Linked DNA regions of Drosophila melanogaster. The protein of the gene in region 2 interacts with the protein of the main gene of each other region in a pairwise test. Each region holds a gene or a part of one and is shown on either strand. Other genes may lie near its edges.

Region 1 (3,998 bases), on a different chromosome or scaffold from region 2:
AAACGAAATACCCTGAGGAGACTTCTAATTAATTTCGTAAATTAAGCATTAGGTATTACAAACAGAGGTCCATTGATTATTATTATTTAATATACAATGTTTGATATGTAATTTAAATATTTCATTCTACAATATTCATTTAGTTTATTGACCAGATGACGTTTAGAATATTCTTTAATTAAAATTAGAAAGAGTTAAATTTCCTATATTTATGGAATGTTTTACAGCTGAAATACCTTTTAGACTGATTCGTTTGCTCTTTTTTTCTAGGACATAAAATCAAAGTACTCCCAGTCCTGAAAAATGAAAAACATGATTCTTGCCACCTGGCCTATCTTAAGTGCACCTTTAATTAGCCACGAAGGCAGTTCAAAGAACCAATGGTGGTACACAAATCAGGGCACAGTCCACTCGAGACAGAACAAAGGGAGTGAACCAAGTGGACCGGACTATATTGCCAATCCAACTTCAATTCCAGGCCAGAACTAACCAGCTCATTAAGCCAGGCTGGAATGGTTGTAGAGAATTGGGCTTTGATTGAAACTGAGTGCCAACGGGGCTAACATTAAAACGCACTTATCAGCCGAGCCGTCAAGGCCAATCCAATGTGGTTCTTGCAGTTGCTCCTCCTCCTCCTCCTAATCGGGAGCGAAGTTTAAGCACCAGAGATCTGAGGCATCCGATAAGCCCGCTGCTAAAAATAAAAATGACCAGCGAAGGAGGAACAGGAGATACCAATGCAGCTGCAGTGCATCAGAGGCGGATGGGAAACATATTCTTAGGGGGTTTTCTTAGTGTCCGGTTGAAATAAGTATATATCTTCAGTGTATACTATAAGGTGTCTAAAAATTCACATTATATTATTTATTTAGCGGACTTAACGATTTAATTAACCCTTTTCTGTGTCATATTTGTAAGCTCTTCGCATAAAACATATATTTCTTATGTACATACATATGTATCTAACCAAGTATTATAATTTTTAAGGGTACTTATGACCCCCCTAAGACCCCCATTTTGTTCGCCACTGGAGTGCATGACTCCCGTGTCCAAGCTGTGGCCAAATGTGGCCCTTGGCCTTCACTCACCTTGAGATGCCGTTGTTGTCGTCGTCGGTTGTTGCCACAGTTGTTGCATTTGCTGTTGCAGTTGAAGTTGCTGTTGTTGTCGTGGCCCCGTTGCAGTGTGCGAACAAAAAGGAGGCTGAGATGCCACAATGCTGTGGCAGCAACAACGATTGCATATCAATTACACGCTGGTCTGGATGCGGTCTTTGGCCTTGATGGTCCACCCAGCCAAGGCCCTTGGCTCGCTTGCAGATCCAGATGCAGATGCAGATGGAGATGCCAGGCAGCGATTGCTCCTCCCGCTGCGGAGAACCAGGGTCTGCCTCCCTCATTTGGGCCCACTCCAGCCTTGGCCACAATTAAACCAAATTGACAACGCCTTCACGAGGCGTCGATCCCCAAAAGGGGAGTGAAAGGCGGAGCTGCAATGTCCGTTAACGACACAAGTGGACACGACGACGCATTCGCATCTCCTCGTTTGCATTGAAGTGCATCTGATGGATACATTTGGAGAAAAAATTAATTGGCTGTTTACTATTTTAAAATGTGACAGATATTATTACTATTAGGTTATTCTTTAATGAAATACGTGTGCTTGTACAAATTTGATGAATTCTATTTAAGTACAATAAACCACCTTTTTTATCAATAATAAAATATTTTTTTAATGATTGTCATAATCATAAAATTAAAATTTCAGGAATTTAAGAACAGTCTTTTTTAGCAATATTATTATTTATATGCATTTAAATTTATGTTTTAAGCTTTGTACAAATCATTATTAAACAAATTACGAACTACTTATTTTTGGATTTAATTTAAGTCATAAAAATCACGTTACTATATTAGGGTAAAAGAGCATAAAACATTTGTATACTCTCTTAGATAATAATATGGCATACTTTTAGAATTTTTTCGCAGTGTATCAGAATAGAAGCATCTGACCGGCAGGAACCTCAGCCAGAACCAGAACCTAGAACTCGCGAAAGAACCTGCTGGGTATAAAAGGATGAAGACCTAGGCTCAGAATCAACAGTTACCAGTGAACTGACGAACAAGACTCACTCGAAGCAATCTTCCACTGCCCAACCATGAAGTATCCACTTCTGCTGTTAGGAAGCCTCAGCTTGGCCCACGGACTGGCCTTGTACTATCCCTATGCGTACACTGCCGAGGGATCCGCCGTGTTCACGCCCACCCAGCGCCAGTATATCGCCAAGGATGAGTTGGGTCAGTACTCCTATGGCTATTCGGAACCATTGTCCAGCAAACAGGAGACCCGCACCCTAGACGGAATCACCCAAGGATACTATAGTTACCGGGATGCGGCGGGAAAGCTGCAAACGGTTAACTATGTGGCCGACAACAAAGGTTTCCATGTGGCAGCCACTAATCTGCCAAAGGCTAAAGTTCCCCAGGAGTCGCTAGAATTTAGTCCCAGGAGCGCGTCGCATCCAGTAGACCACCATGTTGAGCATCACGCGGAGGTGTCGCATGCTGTAGTTCAGCATCCTGTTGGCCACCATCCCATTGAAGTTCCACATCATCACACTGTTGTTGAAAGCGGACGAAGTGCTCATCCAGATGGACATCATCCCGTCGAGCACCACGAGCACCGCGTTGCTGTAGCTCAGCATCCTGTTGGCCATCATCCCGTGGAAGTTCCACATCATCACACTGTTGTCGAAACCGGCCGAAGTGCTCATCCAGATGGACATCATCCCGTCGAGCACCATGAGCACCCCGTTGCTGTAGCTCAGCATCCTGTTGGCAACCATCCCGTTGAGGTTCCTCATCATCACACTGTCGTTGAGAGCGGTCGAAGTGCTCATCCAGAGGTGCCCCATTCTATCGAACACCACGAGCACCCGGTTTCTGGCTCAGACCCATCCGGATCCCATGGTGGCCACTCCCAATTGCCTCATCCCGTTTCTGATACCGCAGAAGTGGCTGCGGCCAAGTCGCTTCATCTTCAACGCGTCCACGATGAAGGCGTGCGCAACCAGGTGCTGGCCAAGATTCCAGTTGCTGTGGCTCGCAGCCACCATGTCGTGGTTCCTGCTCCGGTCTACGGCTACACCATTCCCAGGTACTACACCCCCGGATTTTACTATTGAATGGCAGCTGAATTCGCACGATTTGGTTCATTATTTAAGAATTTCGAATTTAAATTAAAAAATTGTCAATCAGTCTGCAACGTTTCTTTTGAAGTGGTAATGGGATAATATAAAGAAATTTTTAGCAAATTCATTTTGGTAACACAATATTTGTTCGAAATATATTCTTTCTAAGTATTCTTTCTAAAATTATTCTTCAATCAACAAATTTCTTTATAATTTCTAGTTTTAACATTTGTATCTTTATTTGAATATAATCATAACTAAACTCGCGACACCTAAAGTTCAAGATCCGGCTGAACTGAACCCTTTAGCTGCCCAACTCCTGGACTCACGGAACACGTTCACTCGGACCCTGTCCTACCTCAACCTTTTGGCCCCCCGACCCACCGATCACATTCCACATATGTGCAGCATAAACTCTTCATAAATGTGGGCCGAATTTTGATTTCAATTAAATTTAATAGCAGCATAAACAACGGCAAAGGCAACAACCTAAATAACTAAAACTGGAATTGGTAGCCGGCGTGTCCTATAGCCCCACCCGGTTCCTTGACCCCTATCCGGATGATTTGCAGCTCACACTGAGAGAAACAAATGACCAATAAGTATGACACATTTTTATAAAAGTTTAAAAGTGCTGTTAAAACATGGTAACTCTTGGTTATCATTCGACACTAATTATTTAAATAACGTTGTTTCTAGCTCGAAAATAACGAAAGTCTTAGCTTTTTAATTAATTAAAAAATTACAACCTCTCTTCATTTCATAATTTTTCTTCATTTTTCAACTCCACTTTCTCTCAGTGCACATC
Region 2 (6,788 bases):
GGGATGCGCTCATTTAGCCGCATCTTCGCCAGCAGCAGCTCGGAGAAGTATCGCACCAGCTTCGACTCCAGGCAACGAATCTCCTGCTGCGTCAGCGTGGAGCTGATCGCGCACTGCGTTCGCAGGCCCTCCAGATGGTTGGCCGAGAGATCAATCATGTCCTGAATGATAACCAGGTTGCTGTCTACGGACAGCGAACCGGAGATGGGATCGTTGGCATTGGTGGAGCCCGTGTCTGGAGCCGATGCGGGTGCGTTGTTGTTGCTGCTCATCCTGCTTATTCGCGACGGAGTGGAGCCCGATTGATTTTTTCAGACGCCCCCTCGGGGACTCGACGATTCGATGGGACCAATGGCTGGGACTCCGCCCCGCATTGTGGCCCTCGCCAAGCGACCTTGACGTTCGGTGCTCCGGCTATCGCGCACGCTAACGCCCGCAACTCTAAACGGCTTAGGCAATGCGAAAAAGCAATAATTTGTACAAGTTCCTCGGCTGTTGTTGAAATTTCTCTACACCCAAGTAGCGCATCGAGAGAAGTGTGACCATACCCGGGAGGACTCCTTCTCACTGCACACCAAAATGTACTAAAAGCACTTATCCGAAAAACTTAGGGGCACTCCTCTGTATTTAAAAAAAATAGAACGTTAAGTATTATTATTCTTATGTTGTAATTATATTATGTCTTCGAGTGTATATAGCATATATATTTCAATTCTATTTGAAAAATTAATCCAGAAATTATTTTCACATTTTTATTTTATTAGTCGAAATAAGTCAAATATTTTAATATTTATATTTTATTATTTGGAAATGGAAATTAGGTAGATATTATTTTAATATTTTAATTTTATAACTAAAAATAATTTTTTTAAGTTAATATTTGATGTTCCAATTTATATTTTATGATATGTAATATTACGGAGATAGGCGAGTTTTACTTAATTTATTCATATCACCTTCAGGTGCTGGATATTTCCATTAAGTGGCCGAATGACATTTATGCAAATGGAAATCAGAAAATTGGGGGCCTCGTCATTAATACCACACTTCAGGGATCCCAAGCCATCGTCAATATCGGAAGTGGAATTAATTTGAACAATTCAAGACCAACAGTTTGCATCAATGACTTGATAAGAGAATATAATACCCGTGTCCCGAACAACAAGTTACCTATACTTAAGTACGAGCTACTTATTGCCATGATATTCAATGAAATCGAAAGACTTTTGGGAGAAGTACAAAACGGAGACTTTGATAGTTTTTATGCATTATACTATTCGCTATGGTTACACAGGTAAATTTAAAACATTTTTAAAATACATTTAATTTGCATATTACATTTACTAACATGTTTTTATGTACAGCGGGCAATCTGTTAAGATTTGCCTACAAAAAGATCAGGAAAAAGAGGCCGAAATTGTGGGAATCGATGACTTTGGATTTTTGGAGGTGAAATTACCAACTGGTACTATAGAAATTGTGCAGCCCGATGGAAACAGCTTTGATATGTTGAAGGGATTGATTATACCCAAGTATCAATAGTGAAATGAAGCAGATGTGAAAACTCATATTATTCCCCGAACCCTCTAGTTTAATTGGCCCTTAAGCAACTTGTACTTTTTAGGCAAATTTAGGTCAATTTATAACTACGTAAAAACGTTTATCCTTATAAATATTTACAAGGTGATTCTTCTTAAGTGGCTTTACGAAATAATAATGGATAATTTAATCCACTAAATTAAATACTGCCAAAGAGAATTATATGTTAAAGGAAGTCTCAAAATATTTATAATGACAGGTACATTTGTTTGTTCCCTATAAACCAGTGTTTGGAAATTACTTCGTAAGATAATCGCGTTTGTTACCATTGTTATCGCCATCGATTCCTCTGCATACGGGTGTTTTTGAAATTTGAATTTAATAAATACATATTCGATCATTGCTGACCTTAGACCACTGAGATTAACTGCCGCACAGGTCTTATCTTAAATTTAAGATGGATTTTTTTATTACATAATTTTTTTATTCTAAAATTGTTTATTTTATTATTCTTCTAAAATTTTTTTTTGAACTGAACTTTCATTAGAAAGTTATATTTTTTAAAATTTTTTTGAACTGAACTAAAGAGAGCTTGACAGTGTAGTTTCCTATAAAATTGTCAACACTGGTGATGCGAAGACTTGGTATAATTCCAAGTATGTGAGTTGGTTACACTGTTGCTTTGCTGGAAAAGAAAATTGTGGAATAAAACGGAGTCTGCGGCATTGGGAATTATGTCACAGCGAAATCACAGAGTGGACCGCTTCGCCCAGATGACAAAGCAGGAGGAGATCATAGCCAAGAAACGGCAAGAGATCCTCGAGAAGCAGAAGACGGCACAGCTGGCGAAGGCGGTGGCCGCGGCGCAGAACTTGGCAGCGCAGCTGAAAACCGAGACGACTGTGGGAAAACCCATTGGCAACGAGGTGGAGTATGAGGAGGATGCCCGATACCTGGACACCGCCGTCCAGGACACCTCTCTAGCGGCCGGCGAGGATGGCCTGGAGGCTGTTCACATTGAGGCCACGGCCAGCAAGGGAAAGACGGAGGACGCGGTGGCCCCCAAGACGCTGAATAGCTTCACTGGCAAAACGGGCAAGATCACATTTGGCATGAAGCGTCAGCAGCTGCCTCAGCCCAGTGTTGAGCAGCCACCACCGAAGGTTAAAAACACTTTCTGCAACGATGGTTCCTTTTTAGAGAACTTCAAGAAAATACTCGAAAAGCACGAAAAGCCTCCGCAGCCCTTGATTGTTCCGCCGGTTCCAGTGCCCAGGTGAGTCCACTATCGTAAAAATATTAATGTATATTAATTTGTGGGTAATTATAGCGCCGAGGAGAACAAAGCCGTGGACACGGAAACAGCAGAGCAGAACAACAGTCCCCAGCTAGAGGCGGCCATCGCCATAAGCTCGGCAGCAGCCATGGCTACCTCCATTACGGTGACCAGCTCGGCGCCAACTCATTTGGCTTTTGGACTACCCGTGCAAGCAGTGCAGCCACCACCGCCGCCTCCATTTGCATTCAATCCTACGCTTTTGCAACAGGGACCACCGCAGATGCAGCTGCCAGCTGCATTCTTCCACGGCCATTTGCCTCTGCACTTGCATCCGGCGGCAGTTGCTCCTCCGCCACCTCCACCGCCTCCACAGCTGCCCATCGCTCTGACCAACATGGGACAGATTTACATGCAGCTTGGTCCGTCTCCAGTGGAGGCTATGCAGCTGAATGCCATACCGGCGCCCAAAGAGTTTGACTTAAATGCCATACCTAAGCCACAAATAAATCTGGAGGCTATCCAGATGCCCAGCATCGGTGGTCATTCGACGGAGCAGCTTGGCCTCCTGCCGGACCGCATGTCCATGCCAGTGAATCCACACCCACCGCCTCCGCCGCCACCTGTAGTGGAGGAAATGGAGCAACAGCGCCAGCAGGTGGCACCTCCACATCCACCTCAGCCCACAGCTGCGCCGCCACAAGGTGTGTAACACTTGCAAAACAGTCCTCGTTGCCTGTTTTGATTTGCCATCTCCATTCCCTATCCACATCCAATATATACTCTCATTCTAACCACATCCAACTTCCTACTCATTCAATTTGTATAGAACTTTAATCGTTGAGCACGATTTTAAAGCAATTTATGTAGTTTTTTCAGAAACGTGCATACAATTGCCAACGTGCTTAGAAAACCTAATCGCACTGGTCGCGGAAAATGGTGAAGATTATGAAGATAAAATACGTTTGCATAGAAGCGAGTTGCATCCGGCCTTGTGGTAAATGACCTAAACATGTTTTAACTGGGACTAGTGGTAGTAGATGCACATAAGGGATGGACCGGGGGAGGGGGGGGGGGGGGGTCGTACAGTCCGTCTTAATTGGGGATTTTTCACGTTTACTTAATTGCTTTCGCAAGTTGAATCATTGTATAAGTGCCAGTTCTTTAGGATAGTAACAATTGAATTTTAAAAATTAGTCCGATTTATGTTATAGTTTGGTTGTTTTTAATTGCCATTACTCCGATATTTCACACGACACACACAGACGCACAGATTTCCGTTCCGCTTACTCAATCGTGAATTTAAAATCACAAACAGTGGACATGTACATGTTTTTCTTTGATGCGTTTTAAGTTAGATGTCTGATTAATACTACCAATGCCATGTAACATCTGACAAAACGGACCAACTTGATGGGGGTGTAGGAGGATTAGCCAGACCAGTCGCGTGGACTCATCGAGCGCACAGTGTTCCGTCGTTCCTCGATCGTCATCTAAAGTCTGGAGGAGCCAGCCGGCGGATGACAACTAATAATCTCTGAATAAGCCGCTATTGGGGCGCCTCAAACAGTTATTCATATAATGTCTTTGTACACGTGACTAACGTCGAGCACTTTTCATTGTACTTTTCACTTCTTTTGAATTTTGATAATAGGTTTCTTTATGATAAGAGCTGCGAGCAGTATCGAAGCTATAGCGACCAACTCCTCGACTACAAACAGCAGCGGGCTGAGCGACAACGGGAGCGGGAGCATCAGAAGCTAAGCCGGGACCATCAGCCGCAGGCGACGGAGCAGACGGACGCACAGCAACACCGCGAGGAGCAGCACAGCAACTCGGCGGCTGACAAGTACGACCCAGAGTCGGCCATCAGCGCGGACTTCGACTCGGATGACGAGTACATGCGGGGCATGATGGATCGCAACCGGGACAACATCAAGCGCCGCATTGAGTGTCGCAACGAGCTGAGCGACGAGGAGAGGCGCGAACGGGAGGAGGCTGCATCCGGAGAACCGCCGGATGGCGATGACCAGGACGACCAAGACGACAAGGAGTCGCAGAGGCAGCGTAGGAAGCGCGAGCGCAAGAGCCGATGGGGCGAGAAAGAGCAACAGTTGCCATCCTCAAGTATGTTTATATACTCTTAACCCTAAATAGTATATATATTCGTGATCACAGCCCGAGTCGATCTGTCAATTCCCGTCTGTCCGTTTATCTGCTTGTCTGTCCGTCCGTATGAACGCTGTGATCTCGCAGATTTTAAAAACCAGAAAGATGTAGACGACTGCCACTACCACTGAAATAATATGTATAATTATGACGCTACTGACAACAATCCTTATTATCTACAGGCACTTCGGGAAACTTTGGTAACCAAAATAAACCCATACTAAGTGGCATCACGCGAACAGATCCCGCGTTGTTGCAGTATGCTCGGCTCAACTATGGATCGACTCAGCTGAGCGAGGAGCAGTGGAAGCAGTGCGAGGAGCACTACAAAGTAAACCTGCTGTATCAGGACATGATGCGCAAGCGTCAGGAAATCGATCGACTGGCCCGTGGCGGTAAATTCAAGTACGAATACGACTCGGACGAGGACATTGAGGGCGGGACGTGGGAGCACAAGTTGCGAACAGCCGAAATGGAGGCCACATCCCTATGGGCAAACGCCCTGACCAAGCAAAGCGAAGGCAAGCATCACATCGGCGACTTTCTGCCCCCCGAGGAGCTCAAGAAGTTCATGGAGCAGTACGAGGCGAAGAAGAACAACAGGCAGCCGGATCTAAGCGACTACAAGGAGTACAAACTAAAGGAGGACAACATTGGCTTCCAAATGCTGCAAAAACTCGGCTGGAAAGAGGGGCAGGGCTTAGGACAGGACGGAGCTGGAATTGTGGACCCCGTTAACAAGTAGGTTACCTATCCTATGTTTGAAAGTATCTCACTGTATAATATGGCAACAGGGCACCGCAACGCGATGGAAACCAAGGACTTGGTGTCAGCAGCGCTGCCCAGCCAGAGGACTGCGACAATGAATATGACGCCTACAGGAAGCGAATGATGTTGGCCTATCGTTTTCGTCCAAATCCTTTGGTAAGTAATCCCTGGAAACTGGCAAGGGAAGAGAACATAACTAATATGATAGCTATAAATGCTTAATATATATGACTTCTTATTTGTTTGCAGAACAATCCACGTCGCGCCTACTACTAGCACTACCTAAAATGACCCCTACCCACATAACTACCAATATCCTAGGTCCACTTATTCAACTGCAACTTTGCTGAATAAAATGTCCTCGTTTAAATTAAACAGCGGACACGTCAGTTTATTTTAGGGGGTCGTTTATTCAGTAAGTAGTTCGTAATTAACTTAAATCTATTGCAAGCGTTTAGGAGTTCGATCGTACAAAGGAGTACGTAAGTAAGAAGTGTGGAGGTCTCTTAGAACGAGAGTCTGGGCTCTGGAATTCCATTTTGATTCGGCGGCACATTGCACAACTCCCAATCAAGGGACTGATTCGATTCTACCGGGAACTGGGAACTGGACCACCTAAACGCTAATAATACTAAGTTGTACTCGAACTGGAAGCGAGGGCTAGTCTAGGAGTAGAGCGTCAGCACGGGCGTCTGGTTGCCGCGCGCCAATGCCACCGGACACTTCATGTCCGACGTGAGCATCTCCAGCCATGACATGTACAGCGGTGCCGAGATGGCCTCCTGGAAATACAAAAATACGCATGTGTTAGTGGTCAATCACGATGTTAGTGCTCATTTCCGAATGTCTCACCTTGCGCGGCATGGGCAGGGACATGACCACCAGGGAAGCGTTTGATGAGTGCTTGACCACCAGCTCATGGATGCGCAGCTGGCGATTCGTCTTCTCCGACATGCTCTGCAGCTCATCGTCCGTGATGCCGAACTCGTTGCGGGCTCCGCGGCGGAAGGGCTCGATCAGCCGCTTGTGCTTCAGC
Region 3 (3,830 bases), about 25 Mb from region 2:
ATGTAGACTGGTTCTTGTTCAGGTACGAACTGAGCCAAATAGAACGATATTCCATTTGGAAACTGTCACGTATCCAGACATAAACGCTGTGCAAACAAAGATGTCAGATACAAACACCCTCACAAGTGATGCTAAGTAAACAACTATTTCGATGTGACTCTCTAAATCTCTCCATCTCCTGCCCTCAAATTTCATAGCTGAACAGGTGGTTATATTCTCATTGCAATTATTTATTTGGAGTCTCTCATCCGTAATCTAAATGACTGCAGACAGAGTGTTCTTTAAAATTTGCTAAATTCGTTACTGCTCATTCACTTAGTACGAGATGCCGGTGTTGTCGCGGATCCAGTCCAAGTATCCAGTGACACGGCTGAAGACAGCGGGAGCACCAGACTGGCAGCCGGCGGAGGAAACGAAGGAGGTCACTCCGACCAGGCGGTTGCCCTCGTGTGTCACCAGGGGACCACCGGAGTCACCTCCGCAGGTGGACTTTCCGCCGTTGGTGTTGATGCAAATCATGTTGTCGTGGAGAGACCAAGTGCGGCTGCAATCACTCTGGGACATGATCTGGACATCGACAGCCTGGAGCCAGTCGGGCAGTGGGCTGCCATCGTAGGTGCCGCCCCATCCGGAGGCCACGGCCCACCATCCGGCGTAGTCCTGGTAGCGGTCGTTGTAGCTGGGCAGCTCCACCTTGTTGACCAGGTGCCAGAAGTCGACGTGCGGGGTACGGATCAGGGAGATGTCGTTGTGCAGGTTGCCGCTGTTGTAGTGGTGGTGCTGGACGAAGTTTCCGCTTCCAACCCAGTGGGTGTACTGGGGCTGGTTGCGCAGACTGGCTCCGTAGTTGATGGTCACTCCACTGGCTCCGTTGGTGCAGTGGGCGGCGGTCAGGACCCAGGTGTTTCCGATGATCGAGCCACCGCACCACCAGTTTCCATTGCCGCTGAACAGCAGACCCACGATGTAGGGAACCTTGCCCTCGTAGGCTGGGTAGCCGTTGGTAATGCGACCCTGGATCTTGACATCCTTCACCGGGGTGGGGACCAACTTTTGCTCTGGGGTAGGAATGGCTGTGGCTGCGGCCACGGCCAGAGCCAGGAATACGAGCAGTTTCATCTTGGACAGGTCTTACAACTCATGGTTTTTCCAAAAACTGAACGCACTTTTATACTGAATACAATGGCTTATCATTCCCAGGAAACGACGGCTGTATATTTTGTCCAGAATTTGGCATGATAAGTTTGGCGTCTGAGAAGTGGGAGGAACGGAACGAGTCTTTCGTGAATATATGGCGTGTACTCAAGATTTCAAAGTTTCGTATATTCTGTAATGTGTGAAAACTCCGTTGTCTTACCATATTTCCCTAAACATTTTGTTTTTATTTTTATGTTAGTCTTTAAAGTTTTGATATAATGGTAAAGTAATCGTAGTATGGACTTTCCATTGCAATGCTGAATGAGTACAAAAATAATGAATGAAAGCCGCAATCAGTTCATAATTTTTAGCTGGTAGCTCCTAGTAGTACATTTTTATCAGTAGAGAAAGACGTTTATTTATGGTCGCTACTCAAGTAATTATCATTCATCGTACGTGTGTCCTAAACTAGATTAGAGACATAAGTGTGATTGTTGAGGAAGATATGCGTACCTCGTAAATATCAAACATAAACCTTTCAGATCGTCAAAGACGTAACAGACTACGACTTTTAGAATTTAATTATTTATATATCTAGTTTCCTGTTTAGCTTAAGAATTGAAAAGTATCCTTAAAGGACAAAATTTAAAGCGTTGATTCATTTCGTCATGCGATCGCGACTTTTAAAGCTGCTGCTTAGTAAATATTTTACTGATAGAATATGATAGTATGTAATGTAAATGTATATTTATTTGATTTTTGTATGTTGGTTCGATTTGCAAATGTGATAATCGTCTTGACAATCTTTAATTTTATATAAATTGTAAGATCGAAGGATTACATTACAGACTATGGACTTACTCTAATAATGGCACTCATCAATTGCCAAGTACAGGCAATAATTTAAGTTTTATCAGCCAGCTTAACTTGCCACGACAGAAATCTGGCAAAATATATTGGCAACAAGTATTACTAAAAAGCGACAAGAAACCATGGTATTGATAAGGCGATGGTATAAAAGCTCGGTCCGTTTCTGAACAAGGCACAAGTTGTTAGACCTGCCAAGATGAAACTGTTCGTATTCCTGGCTCTGGCCGTGGCCGCCGCCACAGCCATTCCTACCCCGGAGCAAAAGTTGGTCCCCACCCCGGTGAAGGATGTCAAGATCCAGGGTCGCATTACCAACGGCTACCCAGCCTACGAGGGCAAGGTACCCTACATCGTGGGTCTCCTTTTCAGTGGCAATGGAAACTGGTGGTGCGGTGGCTCGATCATCGGCAACACCTGGGTCCTGACCGCCGCCCACTGCACCAACGGAGCCAGTGGAGTGACCATCAACTACGGAGCCAGTCTGCGCAACCAGCCCCAGTACACCCACTGGGTTGGAAGCGGAAACTTCGTCCAGCACCACCACTACAACAGCGGCAACCTGCACAACGACATCTCCCTGATCCGCACCCCGCACGTCGACTTCTGGCACCTGGTCAACAAGGTGGAGTTGCCCAGCTACAACGACCGCTACCAGGACTACGCCGGATGGTGGGCCGTGGCCTCCGGATGGGGCGGCACCTACGATGGCAGCCCACTGCCCGACTGGCTCCAGGCTGTCGATGTCCAGATCATGTCCCAGAGTGATTGCAGCCGCTCGTGGTCTCTCCACGACAACATGATTTGCATCAACACCAACGGCGGAAAGTCCACCTGCGGAGGTGACTCCGGTGGTCCCCTGGTCACACACGAGGGCAACCGCCTGGTCGGAGTAACCTCCTTCGTTTCCTCCGCCGGCTGCCAGTCTGGTGCTCCCGCTGTCTTCAGCCGTGTCACCGGATACTTGGACTGGATCCGCGACAACACCGGCATCTCGTACTAAGAGCTTAGTGTTTTTCTACTAATAGCTTAGTGTTTTCTTTTCCGTTTATCTTTTTGGAATTTTTTAATAAAATTTGTAGAACATAAATTTGCGGACTTTTATATCTTTGTACTATTTTGAATGTTCATGTTTTGTTTGTTTTGTCGTTTGCCAATTTTGTTACAAACCTATCTCAAAGCGAAATTTAATTTCGGAAATAGTTAAGAGCGTTTTGCTCTATAGACTGAGCAGTCTATTTAGATGGCGCCACATAGTAACTACGAAGGATATTTCTTATTCGCCTGCGCAAGACCTTCTTTGCTAGAAATAATCCTTTTATTATTTCCCCCAAAAAAGGAATGAGTATTATTAAAAACCCTTAACTTTTTAGTCGGAGGTGCCAATAGGGAGCACTAAACTACGGCAATATTTTATCACATGATAAGTGCAGAGGAAGTGTGTCTATTGAAAATTTATGACGAATGAATTCACGAATTGTCAAGTTTGTAACGCTTAGAGGTACATAAAATAATATTTGAGTCATTGCAAAAATGTAAATTTATCAATTTAATCTTTAATCGAGTTATACGGTACAAAAAAAAATGCCAATGTACCCAAGAAATCTGTTAAGAACTATTATAAATCAAACTGAATTTGTGCCGATAACCAGTTACGACTTTAAATGATGTTTGTATTTATTTGGCCACGATGAACTGATAACAGCTTTCACTCACAATTTTCGTCTATTATAATAGGCTTCCGTTGAAACCAACTTTTTTATTATAAATGACAGCTTAGCCAGTACATCCTATCATCCTAGTTAAAATTCAGGCTAATATATTTT

Evidence for each region. The genes of interacting proteins can lie anywhere in the genome.
Region 1: the proteins of CG31550 (region 2) and Cpr72Ea interact in a two-hybrid assay, tested with the Drosophila melanogaster proteins (one large-scale study listed by BioGRID).
Region 3: the proteins of CG31550 (region 2) and Jon99Fii interact in a two-hybrid assay, tested with the Drosophila melanogaster proteins (one large-scale study listed by BioGRID).

The regions. Positions count from the first base shown.
Region 1 is NT_037436.4:16,360,492-16,364,489, forward strand, and holds Cpr72Ea (cuticular protein 72Ea), read left to right. Parts: upstream 1-2,111; 5' UTR 2,112-2,158; coding exon 2,159-3,184; 3' UTR 3,185-3,259; downstream 3,260-3,998.
Region 2 is NT_033777.3:5,483,366-5,490,153, forward strand, and holds CG31550 (uncharacterized protein), read left to right. Parts: upstream 1-2,177; 5' UTR 2,178-2,273; coding exon 2,274-2,815; intron 2,816-2,869; coding exon 2,870-3,519; intron 3,520-3,685; coding exon 3,686-3,812; coding exon of another isoform or gene 3,813-3,816; exon of another isoform or gene 3,817-4,469; coding exon 4,470-4,942; intron 4,943-5,166; coding exon 5,167-5,725; intron 5,726-5,778; coding exon 5,779-5,908; intron 5,909-6,001; coding exon 6,002-6,028; 3' UTR 6,029-6,124; downstream 6,125-6,788. Other genes in the region: Hcs (holocarboxylase synthetase), read left to right, coding at 963-1,294, 1,365-1,542; ksr (kinase suppressor of ras), read right to left, coding at 1-272; NKCC (sodium potassium chloride cotransporter), read right to left, coding at 6,418-6,534, 6,605-6,788.
Region 3 is NT_033777.3:30,486,277-30,490,106, reverse strand, and holds Jon99Fii (jonah 99Fii), read left to right. Parts: upstream 1-2,178; 5' UTR 2,179-2,203; coding exon 2,204-3,007; 3' UTR 3,008-3,091; downstream 3,092-3,830. Other genes in the region: Jon99Fi (jonah 99Fi), read right to left, coding at 316-1,119.